2 linked regions of the Oryza sativa Japonica Group genome follow. The protein of the gene in region 2 interacts with the protein of the main gene of each other region in a pairwise test. Links are inferred from orthologs where the notes say so. Each region holds a gene or a part of one and is shown on either strand. Other genes may lie near its edges.

Region 1 (7,965 bases), on a different chromosome or scaffold from region 2:
TTTTGGGATCAGGGGCGGAGCTGCAGTACTATCATTGGGGTCATTAGACCCTGATGACATTCGATCAATCAAGTGAATTGTTCATTATTTTGTAGCTAATGACCCCAGCAACAAAAGCTTAATGACCCCGGCCAGCCTGATAAACTGCTGGAGCTCAGGAAGGCTGAAACAATTGTACCGTTTATTTCTTTGGAAGCATAATTTGTTAGCTGTGTTATGCTACTGTCAATCCGCTACTAATGCTGCAATTAGACATATTTGATCTATTAACCAACTACTTATTTTAGCTATGTGCTATGTATATCAATGCATTAGGCCTGAAGTTTTGCTAATCAACTACTAGATGTGTTTTTTAAGTTACTCACTCTATCTCAAAATATGTTACTTCTAATATTCAAATTTGCTTTAAAATATAGCTATTTTCTATGAACCATCCCATCTCCAATCACAAAATTCCTCGATATAATTTTTTTCACCTACTTTTTTTTCCCAACCAATCACAATAATTTCACACCCTAACATTAATCTCTTAAAAAGACGTAGGTAGTTGTATTTTGAGACAGATGGAATAATAAACAACTTTCAGAACATACTTGTATGTCTGAAAAAACACATGGTTGTTATGCCCGGTTATATGTAGTCATAACTTTTAAAATTTTGGACCTTAAAAACCTCAGAAGTTCTTATAGAATAGACTTTAAATATTTATTTTTAGCAAAATGGAACAATCCCAACTTACTCATAGCTCTAGCTCAAAAGTGAGCTAAAAATATCTAGCTTCGAGAATAATTATAGTTTCAAACACGACATAAATACAAGTAAAAGCCATGACCCCAGTGATTCAAAATGCTGGCTCCGTCCCTGTTTGGGACAGAGAGAGTAGCTAAGGTCAAGCTCTGTTCCCCTGTTGCGACTACACATCAGCGGGGTCGGGCTGACTTTATATTCATGTGAAGGGGTTTGGTTGGGTGGGCCTTTGCAACGAATTGAATTTTTTAAGGGAGGAGATTTTAAAACGAGTGATAATTGGGGTGCTTTATACAATTTTGCCTTATCAAGATTTGTGGGCTTTAAGATTTAGTCCATGTGGTCCAAATAGTTAACTAAAATCTTATAAAAATTAAATAATACAAAGTGAAGTAGGTCTTAAATGTCCTTACACAAATATGAAAGATCAGTTTTGATCTACGCATAGAGAAAACAACAAATTTCAGCTGTGAGTGGGAGGTTCCGATTACCGAAGGCGTCAGATTAACGAGAGCAGCAATCATGTGCCACCAAATCGCTTGTGCTGCTTTGCAGCTTGCTCGGCTGTGGCGCAGCTGGGCTGTATCTACAGTACAAAGCCGTAGAAATTTTGTTGCGTTTGATGGAGCTGCTGCGGCTGCACAGCCACTGCAATCTCTTCCGAACACGAAAACAGAAGATGAAAGTACGAAACCGACCAACAGGATTTGCCAAGGCGTTCACACAATCTGCGTGTGTACTGCAATAGATTATCTTCTGCCAAAAAAACAAAATCCTTGCGCTTTGCACACCAGTACCCATAAGAGCAGAATGATTTATCCAAAACTATGTGATGGATCTGCATGTTCTAAAAAAAAAAGTGATGGATCTGCACAGATAAGTTCATCGGAAGAGGTTGCTGCTACTTGTACAGTTGTACTAGCAACAGAAGAACACCAACAGCTCAGGACATAATATGCATACTGATACAGTTCCAAGGGTGAGATACCACAGATCAGAGAGGTATACAAAATGTAATAGAGCAGGCCACATGATTGAATTATAATCGACAAAAGCAGAGTTCAGCATTTACAAGTCAACCTGTAATCAACGCATGCAGCCCACCAACTCAGGTAACGACATCAGTTTCTCAGGTTCTCTGTATGTATCCCAGTACATCAAGTATAAGGAGAACAGCAAGCTCTATGAATACGAGTCCATTTGACCTCGCAAAACACCCCCCACCCCCCTAAAGCATTGCACGCGCCCTACCACCACGACGGCATTCGCCACTGGATTCCGCAGTCTAAAATGGGCACCAGCGGTTGGACCAGACCGACAACACATCAAGATCCACCCTTCCTAGTTCCTCCTTCGCTTGTCCCTGGGAGAAACCATGGCGGTCGACTCTGTCACATCCTGCAGATCAAGCATCGAGTGTGATCTCATATGAGCTGATAACACCTGCGGTGGACGAGGTGCAGGTGGAGAAGCAAAGACACCCATGGCGGCATTGCTGGGCCTTCGGAGTGGCTGACGGGTATGCAGCTTCGGAGAGCGGTAGTGTTCATCATCACTGCCGCTGTTGCTCCCCGAACTGCTTGTTGCAGCTGGTGACAATGTCATTCTCCTGCAATTTGTAGGGCTGATGATCACATCATCTTCAGGGAATACCTCTTTGTTCTGTGGCTTGCCCCACTTGAAACTGAACGGAAGAAGACCTTTCCGCTTCCTAGGGGATGGGTTTTCTGGCTTTGGAAGACTTTTCTCAGGTGGAGATGGGATCACGGAATCTTGAAGCTTTGCAAAAGATCCAGACTTGCCATTGTAGAACTTGCATACCCCTTTCCTGCAATAGATAAGAACAGAATTACTCAATAAAACAGAAGATTGTAAGATGCTGGAGCAAAGACTTGGAAAACATCAGCAGTACACATGCTCCTCACAAGGAACAGACAAACAAGTTTGCCAGATCAACGATAGAGACAGGCTGCGGAATATTTTAATGTTGCAGATCAACAAATAATTACACATGCTACAAGATAGCTAACAAAAGCATGTGAAAAAGATTGTGGTGTCTGACTGATCCTGTTCCTGTGTTAATCATGTTAGCCATATTGAATTGTGTTCAAGACTTCAAGTTCACAATACCCAATCTCTGCTTCCATCATATGGCTAGAATGCACAATTCTATGCGACTACAAGTGACAAGGGCCAATAGGTACTTGGTAGTATGAACTACAAACCCACTCAGCTACTAAGTAGTTGTGCTAGACTTACACTAGTACTGAAAGAATTCAAATAGCAGTAGCGAAATTGTACAGTAGTTGTGCATGCTCAAAAGAAAAAAAAAATGTCCCTATGCAAAAATTATAACAATTCATGATATCTTCATGACAAAAATATTACTGCCTGAAGGTAATATGCATCAACTGATCTCAGAGCTATGCCTACCCCCCCTGTACACAATAGTCAGGTTGCAAGAACACAAACGAACAAACTCAAAGTCATTACTACGACCAACCTAGAAGATAGATTATTCATTGCTTTTGTCAAAGATGCACATATCTGCAATTTACACCATCTATTGTATTGATCATTAACAAAGAAACCCAACCATTAATACACCATAGAACTTTTTGTAATTCTGATAAAACCCGTTTTGTGTGATTTCATCCCATAATACTGCGCTTATATAGTCAATATCAAGTATCAACACATACCAAAGGAACTATGAATCATGGAAATTGGTCTTTCAGTGTTAGTACAACTAATGTGCCCTTCTGAAATTATAAGATGGCATGGACTTCAAATGAAATATTCAAGTGCTAGGATCCTTTGATTCCTCGGAGTAAGAATGAAGTGAAACACCAACAAAGTAGTACTAATCACAAGTCATTCTTGCTGAAGCCTATACAAACGCATTAGAAATTGTCTAATCAGAACCTTTCGTGCTCAGAACATTCAGCATAAAGATTTTAAGGGCATGGCAAGAACATTAAGGACTACTACTTACAAAAATATAATCGACCCCTAATGGGTTATGGGTATAACCCAAACATGAACCAACAATAAGCAAGCATGACGAAACCATACGCAAAAGTATCCCGGCATCCAGTGCATTCGCTGTATTCTTCCGACCTCAAATATCCCAGCTTCACGAATCGATCGAAACCCATGTTCACAAATTTGTTGGATGTAAGGCGGCACAAAGAATCACCTAGAACCCTAAATTAGCTCTTTCTTTCTTTCTTTCTTTCTTTTAACAGTTTGACTTCAGTCCGACCAATAAATCCCCCAAATTCCAAGATAAGCATCGACTCAAGGATAGATAACCAAACCGCTCCATACAAATTACTCCATGACCACTAACCGTCCACGAAGAACCAAGAATCTTGCCTACATTCCCCAACTAAAACCGATCAAGAACCAGTATTTTCCACTGCATTGGTCCAAACGAATCAAGAAACCCCCGAAATCTCTCTAGAGGAACACGCGCACCGGGGGATCAAGAACAGCGGTTTCTACCCCGCATTACCCCCAAATCACCCAAACGAAACGCAAGAACACCTCGGGACCGATCAAGATCCGTGGGGGTAACGACGAATTGGGCGGGGAGGGGAAGCCAGCCATACCTGAAGGGGAGGGCCTCCTGGAGCGCGTCCATGGTGTCGAAGGGCCCCTTGTACGAGCTCTGCACCTCGCCGTCGCCGCCCTCCACCTCCTCGCCGTCCCACTCCCACTTGGCCGCCGCCGCGGGGCTGTCGCTGTCCCTCCCCACCGACGACGAGCTGCGCGCCCCCACCGACGCCGGCGGCGGCGAGGCGGCGTAGGCGCAGCGGGCGACGCGGCCGAACCGGGGCCCGCCGCCGCCCCCTCCTCCTCCTCCTAGCCCGGGCCCACTCTCCAGTGCGATCGACATGGCCCCCCTCACCTCACCTCCTCTCTCTCCTCACATGCAAAGGAGGCCGCCTCCGCCTCCTCCTCTTGCTGCTTGCTGCTTCTTTCGCTTTCGCTCGCTTGCTCGCCTTCACACGCGCACGCACACCGAAAGACTAGGGAAATCGCGAGAGAGTGGCTTTTTTTTTTCTTTGTGGAGTGATGGGTTGGGTATTTATGCTGCAAAAGGAGGGCAGGTTGATTCCCTTTTTTATTTCCCTTTTCTGCCTGAGTTTGCAAATGTGCAAAGAAAGATGGAGTAGTAATATATAAGTAAAGATTTGCCCCGAACTTTTTTTAGCTTTAAATAATTTCTCATACATTTAGATAACCCGTAAAGAAAAACAATGATATGCACTCCATTTGAGAGATTATATATTAAACAAGTGAAAAGAGACATGACTCTAGATTGGTACCCAATAGCCGAAAGGACACGACTTTAATAGAGAGTTGTGCCAAATAACAACATGCCAAGCTAATACCGTTAAAGTAGAAGACGATGCAATTTTGGACATAGAAGCGAAATTGAACCAATCCCATCCAATCCAATAAATTCGTTACGACAAATCGACAACCAATCCCAATCATCCACCAATGAGTTAGTTCTAAAATAAATCGAGCATTTTTATTCCAACATCTATAGTTTGACTAAGCTCGGTCGAATAAATATATGTCTATCTCAGCAGAATCTAACGTATGCTTAAATCCAAGAGTTACTTACATTACAACTTAAGTGCAAACAACATATAGATTATTAAGAGAGTGATTGTCTTCATTGCTACCTAATGTTTTCTTTGCGGTACATTGCTAACTAATGTTCATCAAGGTCACCCACCTTTGTGATTTTAACTTTTGTAAGGATAAATTGGTACCTGCCTTTGCGCTGCATCACTGCCTCATTTACCACAAGTACACCTATTCCCCTAATGGTTTTGTTAGTGGTGTTGGTAAAGTAGGCATTATCTGGTGGTGTTGGTTACTGATCTAATGGTTGCAGATGGGGTTGATTTAGTACAATTTATTATTTGTGCTAGAAATGATAAAAATGAACTCAAAAAATGGAAGGTTATAGTTCAAGACAACTGGACAAGGACCCCTTTTGTAATTCAGAAAACCAATTGTCAAATAAATACATGTATTTTTTTTCCTTCTCTCCAAAGCTGATGTATAATAAAGGGGATATCAAGATATTGATCAACAATGTTTTTTTTAGATAATGAGAATTCGGGTCTTTACTTTAATAAAAGCTACAACCAATTATTATAGTTTTCACACATCATACACAATGTTACGAATAAATTAAAATTTTGAAAAAACGAGAAGGACACAATAAAATGATAGCACCAAACTAGATAATTTATTGTGCGTGTAGTATACATCACAAAGATATACAGCATCAGAGATGTTCTTCTTCGTACAAGATAGTACACCATATAGCTAGCTAGATTAATTAATTCATACCTGAGCACGGGATTTGAAGAACCACAAATACATTTATGCATTAACCAAACGTACCACGTACGTACTTGACATGTTTTATGTTCGGTCCAATGAAAAAAACACGTCGTACACGCTCACCGAAAAGCTCGGCTGCTGTACTACGTGTATACGTGATCACTTCATCACTTGGAAAAGTTCGTATTCGCCCGTGCGCGCCGCTCGGTTGATCGATCCATCACACACGCACTTACACACGGTTGCGCGCGCCTGCGTACGTACGTGCGTGCGTGCGTGCAACGAGAAATAAGCTGGCCAACCTAACGACCAGCCGAGACCTACCCCAACAACTCGCGCGAGCCCTTTCTCGCGTTATTAATTGTTCGTTCGTGTCATCGATCGATCGTGTGCCCGATCGATCACCTCACGTGTCCATGCATGCATCAGCTCTAATTTCGATTCCGATTAATCAACAAATTAATTTGTATATATCGTCGAGATTTAATACAGGGGAGGAGGAGTAATATAGTAATATACTCAATATCTTTAGTTAATTTAGCAGTAATTAATCAGTGTATAATAATGGTGATTAATTACTGGGTGGCGATGAGGTTTGGGCCACGGATGGCGAGGGCGGCGAGGGGGCCAATGGAGAGGGAGTTGATGTACGTGCAAGGCTCGGTGCAGGACGAGTTGCCACGCTTGTCGGAGAAGTTGTCGCCGCCGTCGGGGCCGCCCATGATCGCGCCGGTGAGCTCGTTGGGGTTGGGCCGGTCGGGGGTGAACCACTCGCTGAAGCTCATCCCGCAGTTGACCTGGTAGCCCGGGGGGAGCACCGGGGTGGAGGCGCCGCGGTGGTGCGGCTGCGTGGGCGGGTTGACGCCGAAGCCGACGACGTAGGAGCGGCCGCGCGGGTTGGCGCCGAGGAGGTAGTCGATCTGCTGCTTGGCGAACTGGAGGAGGCGGGCGGGCTGCACGGCCTGGGCGCCGCACATCACCGGCTGGTTGATCCGGCGGAGGATGTCGCTGTAGGCGACGAAGAGGAAGGCCGTGCTGGTGACGTACTGGGAGTTGGCGCCGTCGCGGAGGTGGATCATGCCGCCCGGGGTGATGGACACCTGGTGGAACGGGGTGTCCGGGAGCACGGCGCACACGAAGTTGTCGGCCTGGGACTTGAAGCTCTGGAGGCCGCCGCTGGATGTCATGTTGAGCTCCGCGAGGAGCACCTGCGCGCCCGGGAACTTGAGGTCCCAGCTGAACTCGGCCACGCTCGACGAGATCGCCTCGTGCCCGATGAAGTCCGCGTACACCTGCCTCTTCGTCGCCAGGTACAGCCACGTCGCCGCCCACAGCAACTCATCCTGATCGATGCAGTCACAATCACAATATATATAACGTGTCAAATTTTTTACGTTGATAAATTTTGCATGCATGCATATGCAGAGACGTACGTTGTAGCCGGAGTAGGAGCAGTAGAAGGGGCACTCGCCGTCGTAGGTTCCCTGGTGCGTCTTGGCGAACTGGAACAGCTGTGAATTTCCATTTGTCATCAGGTAGTAGCTAATTAGATGCAAATTAACTATATAAGAGAAATTAACAGATGAAAATCAATGAATATATATATGTACCAGCTTGGCCTTGTTGAGGAGGCGGCGGGAGTAGGGCTTATCCTTGCGGAAGACCATGGAGGAGGCGGTCATGGCGGCGGCGGTCTCGGCGGCAATCTCGGAGCCGGGGGTCTTGTCGTTGATCTGGTAGAGGGTGCGGGGCGTGGGCATGTTCTCCGGGCGGACCCAGCACTGGTGGTCGGCGTTGGGGTCGCCGACCTGCACCCACAGGTGGTCCTTCTTGGTCGCCGCCTTG
Region 2 (8,118 bases):
GGGAGGGGGAAGGGAGGAGGAGGTGGGCGGAGAGGAACGGGTGCTCCGGCGAGGACGCGGAGGTGGGTGACGGGTGGTGGTCGCCGCCGGCGAGAAGCCGCGGCGGCGGCGGCGGCGGCGGCATTTGGGAAGGGAGAGGATTTTGGATGGATTCCCTCTCCTCACCTTCTTATCCAGATTTGGGCCCCACAATGCGCGGCCCATTTTCGTTGATGGGCCGTGATTTTGGAGTAAAATACAGGCCCGTTTCAGAATCAATAAGAGGGGCCTTCTATATAGCGGTTAGGATTAAGCTAGTTAAACCATTAATATATAATTAATAAAGTATTATATATTGTAAACTTCAATTGATTTTTAAGAAACTTCTCTATATGAGGTTTTAGCACGAAACATATCGTTTAGCAGTTTGAAAAGCGTGCTTACGTTAAACGAGTGATTAACCTAGCCTAAACCCAATTTAGAACACAGCATTTGAAAGCTATTTAAACATTGTTTTCTGACATTTACTATAATTTTTATAAAACTGTTTAAGAATACTGGCTCATATTTTAAGCATAAGTTTAAGATTGCTCAATAGCAGAGCCTGAAAATTATGTTTAGAACTTGGAGTGACATTTAACATCAACAACCTGTACTAACGATAGAATAATAGATAGAAGAGACAGAATTGATGCCAAGAGCATTCCCCAACTATCAACAATGTTCAGTCTACAAGGACAGGAATACATATAAGCTGTTCATTGTACTATCATCTCCAGCATCATCTAAGATCAGTTACACTGATAGGATATTACGATCACATAACGCCAATTTCTCTTACACTCTAGTAGCTGTAGCTATTACTGCTACGAAAATTCTTCAGCGTCTCATGTAACGCCAAAGCACAATTCACTCAACGGCTTTGCCCTCTTAGAGATTAGTCCAGCTGATGAGGCGTGCAGAGATTCAGACAATGATGGCATGTAACAGCCATGGCCTTCCTGTAGGAGTTTAGCTGTTGCTGGGGTTCAAGATCTCACCAAGATTCAACTGCAAGCTGTTCCTCATGGTTCTCCTTCCAGCTCCACCAGCATTGCCCTTTCTCATCATCGCCGTGAACTCGCTGTAGTCAATTTGTCCGTCCTGAAAACGGGTGAAGAAATCAATTGGTGAACAAACAAGTCAAAAATTGGACAAACTACAGAATGCAGAGTATAAGAACAACTCACATTGTTTTGATCAACATCTTTAATCATATCCTCAAGGTGAAGATCATCAAGGCCAAATTCGCGGCATGCTTGTGACAGCTCATCAATAGTTATGAAACCACTTCCATCTTTGTCGAAAAATGAGAATGCTGATACTAAGTTTTCCTCCCTCTCTAGCTTATTCATGTGGAGAGTAGCAGCAATGAATTCACCATAGTCGATGGTTCCACTGTTGTCGATATCAGCCTGAAACAAATGAACATATTACAATTTAGCAAAAGCAGCAAGACATGCTATCTTAAATCTTAATACAAAACACCTTTCTTTCCTAGTGAAGGATTTTTCTTTTCCATTTTAGCAAAGGCAAGAGAGATGCCGAGATGTAAATTACGAGACATAAAAATTACAGCATGCAAGAAATACAAAATGCTGAGGATCAGAAGGCCCCTGCAAGTTACATTTCCCTGAAGGATCAACTAACAAAGAAGCACTTACCGCTTCCATTAAAGCCTGGATTTCATGTTCTGTTAATTCTGAACCCACCCTTTTCAAGCCCTCTTTCAGCTCATCAAAAGTTATAGTTCCACTATCGTCAGTATCAATCATTTTGAATAGCTCCTTTAGTCCTCCAATCTCTTCCTCAGACAGGCTTTCAGCAATAACCTGCAAAATGAAAGATACTTAACAATATGTAAAGAGCTCAAGATGATCATTGCATGTTTCACAAGCTAGATCGAGCATTTCAAAAGAAAAGAAAAACTACGATGCCTATAATGCATTAAGTGTCTGGGCTGCCAAGGAAACAGGTTTCGTGTAGCCCCAAACAAATGTCAGAAAGAATCAGTTTGCTACATCATCTTAGTTAACATTGACCTGAACAGAATAGTTACTGGATATATTCCAAATGAACCTGGGTTCAAACAAAGGTGGTGTCAATGGATGAAAAGAGGCATCATGATTCAAGAGATCAGATAGCTCTCTCTACTAAAAATGCACATGGTTGTAGAATATATCAACACTTAATTATTTTTTGAATTCCACAGATGCAAGACTTTTATAAGTAAATGAAGTTAACAGTGAGATTCATTTCCTACAAACAAATCAGGGGAGAAAATGAGACTTGTCAGGTGCCTTTCATATATGAGGCAAACAAGGTCAACCTGAGAGTAATTGAAATAAGCAAATAATTGAATCACAAACTTATAGACAAATCTCCGTACCCTCAATGCCATCTTCTTGAGCTTGTTCATTGCCGAAAAGTGCTTCAGTCTTGACAAAACAGCAGAATCAATAGGCTTGTCAGGTGCCACAGCATCATCAACAATCCATGGATGACCTGGAATAGGCAATGCCATCACAAGGAGAAAAAAGAAGACATCCTACCTATGTCATATTTAAGCAAAGCAGACCTATGGCGAGTAAGAGTAGGAAACAGGGTTGACTTACAGAGAACCTCATGGGCTGTAAGTCTCTTTGTAGGATCCCGGCAAAGCATATTACGGACTAGATCTTTAGCACTGTCAGAGATGCTAGGCCAGGGTTCAGATTCAAAATCAAGTTTGCCTCGTAGAATCTGCCTGAAAATTCCAGCTTCAGTTTCTGCAAGGCAAGAGACAATATGACAATGGAAACGTGAGAATTTGGAGGGACCTACTAATTTAGTTGTTTAGTGGCAAATAATTTACCTGCCCAAAATGGTGGAACACCACATAGCAAAATGTAAAGAATTACCCCAGCACTCCAGACATCAGATTCTGGACCATAGCATTTCTGAAGTACCTCAGGTGCAACATAATAGGGGCTCCCAACAACATCAGAGAACTTATCACCTGAGGAAATGAAAATCAGAGTTTCATAAACTTAACATGACTCATACAGCATTCCTGACAAGATCCAAGTCAAAATACACAGTACAGATACAAACAAATAAGGAACAACAACAATGGCGATGGTGGTAGCAGTAGGTATGACACTGCATTTCACATCATCTTCCTAAATTAGGCAATTTGCAACCAATCTCATGTCCAACAATACATAACACTACCATTGAACTAGACTTAGCTGAATAGTGACTACATGGAGACAAAGATACCTCTTCCCTACCCATTTTAAGGTTACATAACGTAATCATAAGAGCACTTAAATACTTAATGGTTCCTTGCGAAAATTACCAGCTGGCAACTATCACAATATCATAAAAAATATTTGACATGCATTAAAAAGTTCAAATGAGATAAACCACAAAAGCAGTACTATTGCCATTTACATCAAAGTTACTAGTACTAGGATGTAGGAACTGTTTGTGGTATTCCTTTTCTCAAAAATGGACTAACTTGCACAGATTGAGTTTCCAGCTAGAACCCAAGAACGTTTCAATTCCCTCTCCCATTATCATATCAATGTCATACCACACACATATCTCAGCCTCATTTATTCAAACCCAAAACCCAATGTATGAGTGCAGACCAGGGTGTAACAGAAGGACAGATGGGCCACAAGTAAGTAAGAATCTAGCAGACAAGTAAGCTGTCTTCCAGCAAAATGAACAATGTATGCAAGAACTATTGCTGAGTTCAATTAATCTGAAGACAGCCAAATGAACAATGTATGAAAGAACTATTACTAAGCTTAATTGATTCAACCAAGGCAAGCTATAAACAAAGCTCCGACTTAGTCATTTGAATGCAACATAAGCAGTACACAATTTTAATGCAAACACATGAACAATAACAACAACGAATTGCTTACCAAAATGAGCAAATGTGAAACTAAGAAACCACACATACCAGGCTTGTAGAACATGGAGAGGCCGAAATCAGTGGCCTTGAGGGGGGCGTCCTCGGCGGCGCTGGCGAAGAGGAAGTTCTCGGGCTTGAGGTCCCGGTGCATGACGCCGAGCGAGTGGCATCCCTCGACGACGGCGACGATGGTGCGGATGAGCTGCGCGGCGGCGCGCTCGGTGTAGTGGCCCTTGGCGACGATGCGGTCGAAGAGCTCGCCGCCGGCGCAGAGCTCCATGACGATGTGGACGAACAGCGCGTCCTCGTAGGCGCCGCGGATGCGGACGACGTTGGGGTGCTCGGAGAGGTGGTGCATGATCTGGATCTCGCGCCACACGTCCTCGTAGTCCTCCCGGCACAGCAGCTTCCGCTTGGGGATGGACTTGCACGCGAACTCGCCGCCGCTCGCCTTGTCCACGCACAGGTACGTCGTCCCGAACTGCCCCTGCCCGAGCTTCTTCCCGATGCGGTAGTGGTCGCGCACGTTCGCCGTCTTGTGCGGCAGCACCGACACCGGCCGACCTCCCGCCGCCGTCACCGGCGGCGGCGCCAGCTTCGCCTTCGCATTGGCGTTGCCGTCGCCGCCGCTCCCGCTCGGGTCCGGCTGCATTGGCGGCGACCCCAGATCAAGAACCGTACGGACTACGGACACCCAAGCTTCTTGCCTTGTAGCGCTCTCCCTGAAATCAAAGAATCGAAGAGAAGCTAATGAATTCGAGAGAGAGAGGAGACGCGATCAAGAACCAATCGAGAAACGGAAGCTCATTTACCCCTCTCCAGAAATCCCACCGCTTTGCCCACCCCGGGATTTCTACGGAAGAAGAAGAAGACACGGAATTCGGGATCTTGGATTTCACACTCGGGCGATTCTCGAAGGAGAGGAAGAAAGAAAGAAAAAACGAACCAAGAAACCGAGCTTTATGGGAGGTTTATGGCCAAAAAGAGGAACAAAAAAACCGAAGAAAATCTCGCTCTCGCTATCTCAGGTGTCACTCACTCCTCGGAGGAAGAAGAAGAAGATGCAAATCTTGCAGAAACGAAACGAAAAAGAAAAGAAGATGGGGGGATTTGGGTGTTGATCCTGCGTGGAGGTGGAGCTACAGGTTGCGCACACAAGAGGACAGGATCTTGGCGGCGTTGGGTGATGGCTCAATCCATTTCTTTATAGGATTTTTTTCTCTCGGGTGTGTGCTGGTGATGACGATGACGAGGAGGAGGAGGAGGAGATGATAAGAGTTGGAAAATCTCCGCTTTTTGGTTGGATTTTTTTTGGGGGTTGGAACTTGGAAATGGTAAAGGGGGAGGAGGAGGAGGGTGGTTTGGTGAAGTATTTTTGTGAGGGCAGCCAGGTCGTATCTATGCCTTTTTCTCCTCCTCCATGGGTGTGACAAGACAAGAACGAAGGCAGGAGGAAGGAGAAGGAGAAGATGGTATGCTTGGTTGGAACCTTCTCTTCGAATTTCTATTTTCTTTCTTGTTTGTTTTTTTTTTTTTTTTTTGCTGTTCCTTACATTTTTCTTTGTGTCAACCTATTTTCTACTCACTCCGTTTGTAAATATTACGAGTCATTTTGAATTTTTTTTCTAGTCAAGCTTATTTAGGTTTAACTAAGTTTATTTAAAAAATTGACAATATTTATAATATCAAGTTAGTTTTATTAAATATAACATTGAATATATTTTGATGATATGAGAAAATCCTTTAGCTGGATAAGGGACGGATGTAGCCAAGTTGATCAAGGCAGTGGATTGTGAATCCACCATGCGCGGGTTCAATTCCCGTCGTTCGCCCATCCTATTTATTTTTGTTAGAGATATTGCTATACTTTTTTTATAGATTTAATCAAACTTAAAAAATTTGACAAAAAAAAGTCAAAGCTTTTATAATATGAAGTGAAAAGCGTTGTCCTAAAAAGATTCAAATCGAGTAGGTTTTGTGTATGAAATTTTTAGCATTTGCTATGTAAGTTATTTTTGTCTATATCAAATTTTATAATCCTATAAAGTTTCGTTGGAATGCCTTAAGGAAGCCGATTATAAACCGTAATGCGTATTTACGATAAAAAACAGTATGGGTAAACTTTTATATATGTGTTATTAGCAATTTAAAAGACAATATTAAAAAATAAAGTACGGTAAAAATAAAATTAACTCTAAAATTTAAATTTTGGTTACGACGGATAAGCTGAATAGCAAATAATGGAGCTGACCTTGTGAAATATTTTTCTCTGAGTCTCTATTTCTCCATAAATTCATGTATTTTTTCTATAATCTATCTATAAAGTTATTCATATGCTTTCCCTATGCTCTATGCTCTTTTATTTTGTAATTGCATTTCCAATAAACTGCTTCTCTTGGTCCTGTATATTATCAATATTATGTCCTCTCGAAAAGAGTCTTTTATGCGGAGAACAAATTTCTTTTAGTCACTGCTAGTTTTCTTCATATTTCAGCTATACTTTACTGGAATCTCGGATTTGGAATATTTCTTCAGACAATGGGTACAAACGATTTTTTTTTCTTTTCTCTGAACATGAGTTCACGGGAAATTGTTGCTGTATAAGGTTAGGACGACAGAGACAACAGTAGGAATCCAAAGGTTTTTTTTTTTAGATAATGTCCAAAGGTTTCATTGGATCCATTAGCTCTTTCTTTGTTTCGTACACTTCCCTTCTTCTTGTTTATTCTTTCCATTCCATTGCATCTTGACTCATTCCTTTGGGCAGGTGCATCTTCCTTGCCAAATGTTAATTTTCTTCAACTTTTTGTACACCAGATAAGAGCTTCAACATTTTGTACACGGTTTTCAGTAAATCAGGTATCCATCCTGTCATCATTCTGCATTTTGTGTGATTAAAAAATAGCTAAAAAAAAGCCTACTTGACAGTACTTCTTCCAGTTTTGAAAACATTATTTTGAACATCCATATGGCCTTCAAAATGCAACCTTGACTGCTAATTTTACAGTATGTTTATATACTAGCATGTTGAAATTATAATAATCAAAATACGTCTGTACTTATAATTTTCATACTTTCAGTATAAGATGTACTAGATGTTTAGAGTTTTTTTAAGTTTAACCTGAAACATGCTCAAAACGATGTATTTTCAAAACCGAAGTTAGTAGCACCATCCTATGATTCCTTTGAAGTCTGCTTTCGAATTTGTTTTAGAATTTTGAAGCAGTGCTATCAGACAGACATGTCATGGTTGAATGGCCGACCAACTGGTCCAAGTGTGTTTTCTTCTAGCACTGGCCCCTCTAAATAACTGTTAGTTCGTACTATTGTACTAATCAAGACCGATTAAGACCCTGTTTAGATGGGACTAAAACTTTCCCTATCACATCGGATGTTTAGACAATCCATCCATAATCTTAGACTAATTCGCGAGACGAATCTATTAAGCCTAATTAATCCATGATTAGTCTACGTGATGCTACAATAAACATTCTCTAATTATAGATTAATTAGGCTTAAAAAATTTGTCTCACAAATTAGCTTTCATTTATGTAATTAGTTTTGTAAGTAGTCTATATTTAATACTCTAAATTAGTGTCTAAATACAGAGACTAAAGTTAAGTCCCTGATCCAAACACCACCTAGACACGAATTTGTTGGGTCGGTAGGTGGGAGCTCCGATCAGAATTCAGGACCACCTAACACTATCCCAAATTCCAAATCCATGTGCAATGATAAGTTCTATTCCTCCACAAATGAATTATTTCAATCCTATGTTTTCACTAACTTCGTCATGATTTTGATGTGAAAAAAAGAAATATATCTGAAATACTAGTACATAGGCATTTGCTGACATTAACCACTGAAGCAAATTAATCACACAATTGTGTACTCGTGCTAACTTTCACCCACGATTTGGCGTTCAAAATGGCAAGCTTGACAACTTTCCATGTCACAAAAATTCCTAAATAATAGCTTGACATGAATTTGTCCAAGGCTCAGTCCATCTTTCAGGGGGTGTTTGGGAGACATAAGTCCCTCCCCTAAGGACTTATTGTTTCCCTCTCTCCCAAACACCCCCTCAGTACTCTCTTGTTGAAATGAAGTGGCTACTAATGATAGCTTGCAAGAAAGGAGGAGATGATGAAATCATGGTGCCCACAAATGGTGATAGAGATTGTGTGAGACAGTGG

The links. The genes of interacting proteins can lie anywhere in the genome.
Region 1: the proteins of CPK24 (region 2) and protein OXIDATIVE STRESS 3 LIKE 1 interact in binary tests that used the Arabidopsis thaliana proteins (3 or more experiments, as listed by UniProt). The link is inferred for Oryza sativa Japonica Group from reciprocal best matches to the Arabidopsis thaliana genes CPK4 and AT5G21940.

The regions. Positions count from the first base shown.
Region 1 is NC_089036.1:33,457,904-33,465,868, reverse strand, and holds protein OXIDATIVE STRESS 3 LIKE 1, read right to left. Parts: upstream 4,703-7,965; 5' UTR 4,649-4,702; coding exon 4,362-4,648; intron 2,576-4,361; coding exon 2,089-2,575; 3' UTR 1,751-2,088; downstream 1-1,750. Other genes in the region: endoglucanase 8 precursor, read right to left, coding at 6,696-7,463, 7,554-7,631, 7,731-7,965. UniProt on the Arabidopsis thaliana protein: Promotes slightly the tolerance to zinc (Zn) and to oxidizing chemicals (e.g. diamide).
Region 2 is NC_089045.1:3,542,764-3,550,881, forward strand, and holds CPK24 (calcium-dependent protein kinase 24), read right to left. Parts: upstream 5,328-8,118; 5' UTR 4,738-5,327; intron 4,648-4,737; 5' UTR 4,578-4,647; coding exon 3,974-4,577; intron 3,017-3,973; coding exon 2,873-3,016; intron 2,787-2,872; coding exon 2,634-2,786; intron 2,524-2,633; coding exon 2,408-2,523; intron 1,851-2,407; coding exon 1,683-1,850; intron 1,434-1,682; coding exon 1,209-1,433; intron 1,123-1,208; coding exon 991-1,122; 3' UTR 656-990; downstream 1-655. UniProt on the Arabidopsis thaliana protein: May play a role in signal transduction pathways that involve calcium as a second messenger. Functions as a regulator of the calcium-mediated abscisic acid (ABA) signaling pathway. Phosphorylates ABA-responsive transcription factors ABF1 and ABF4 in vitro.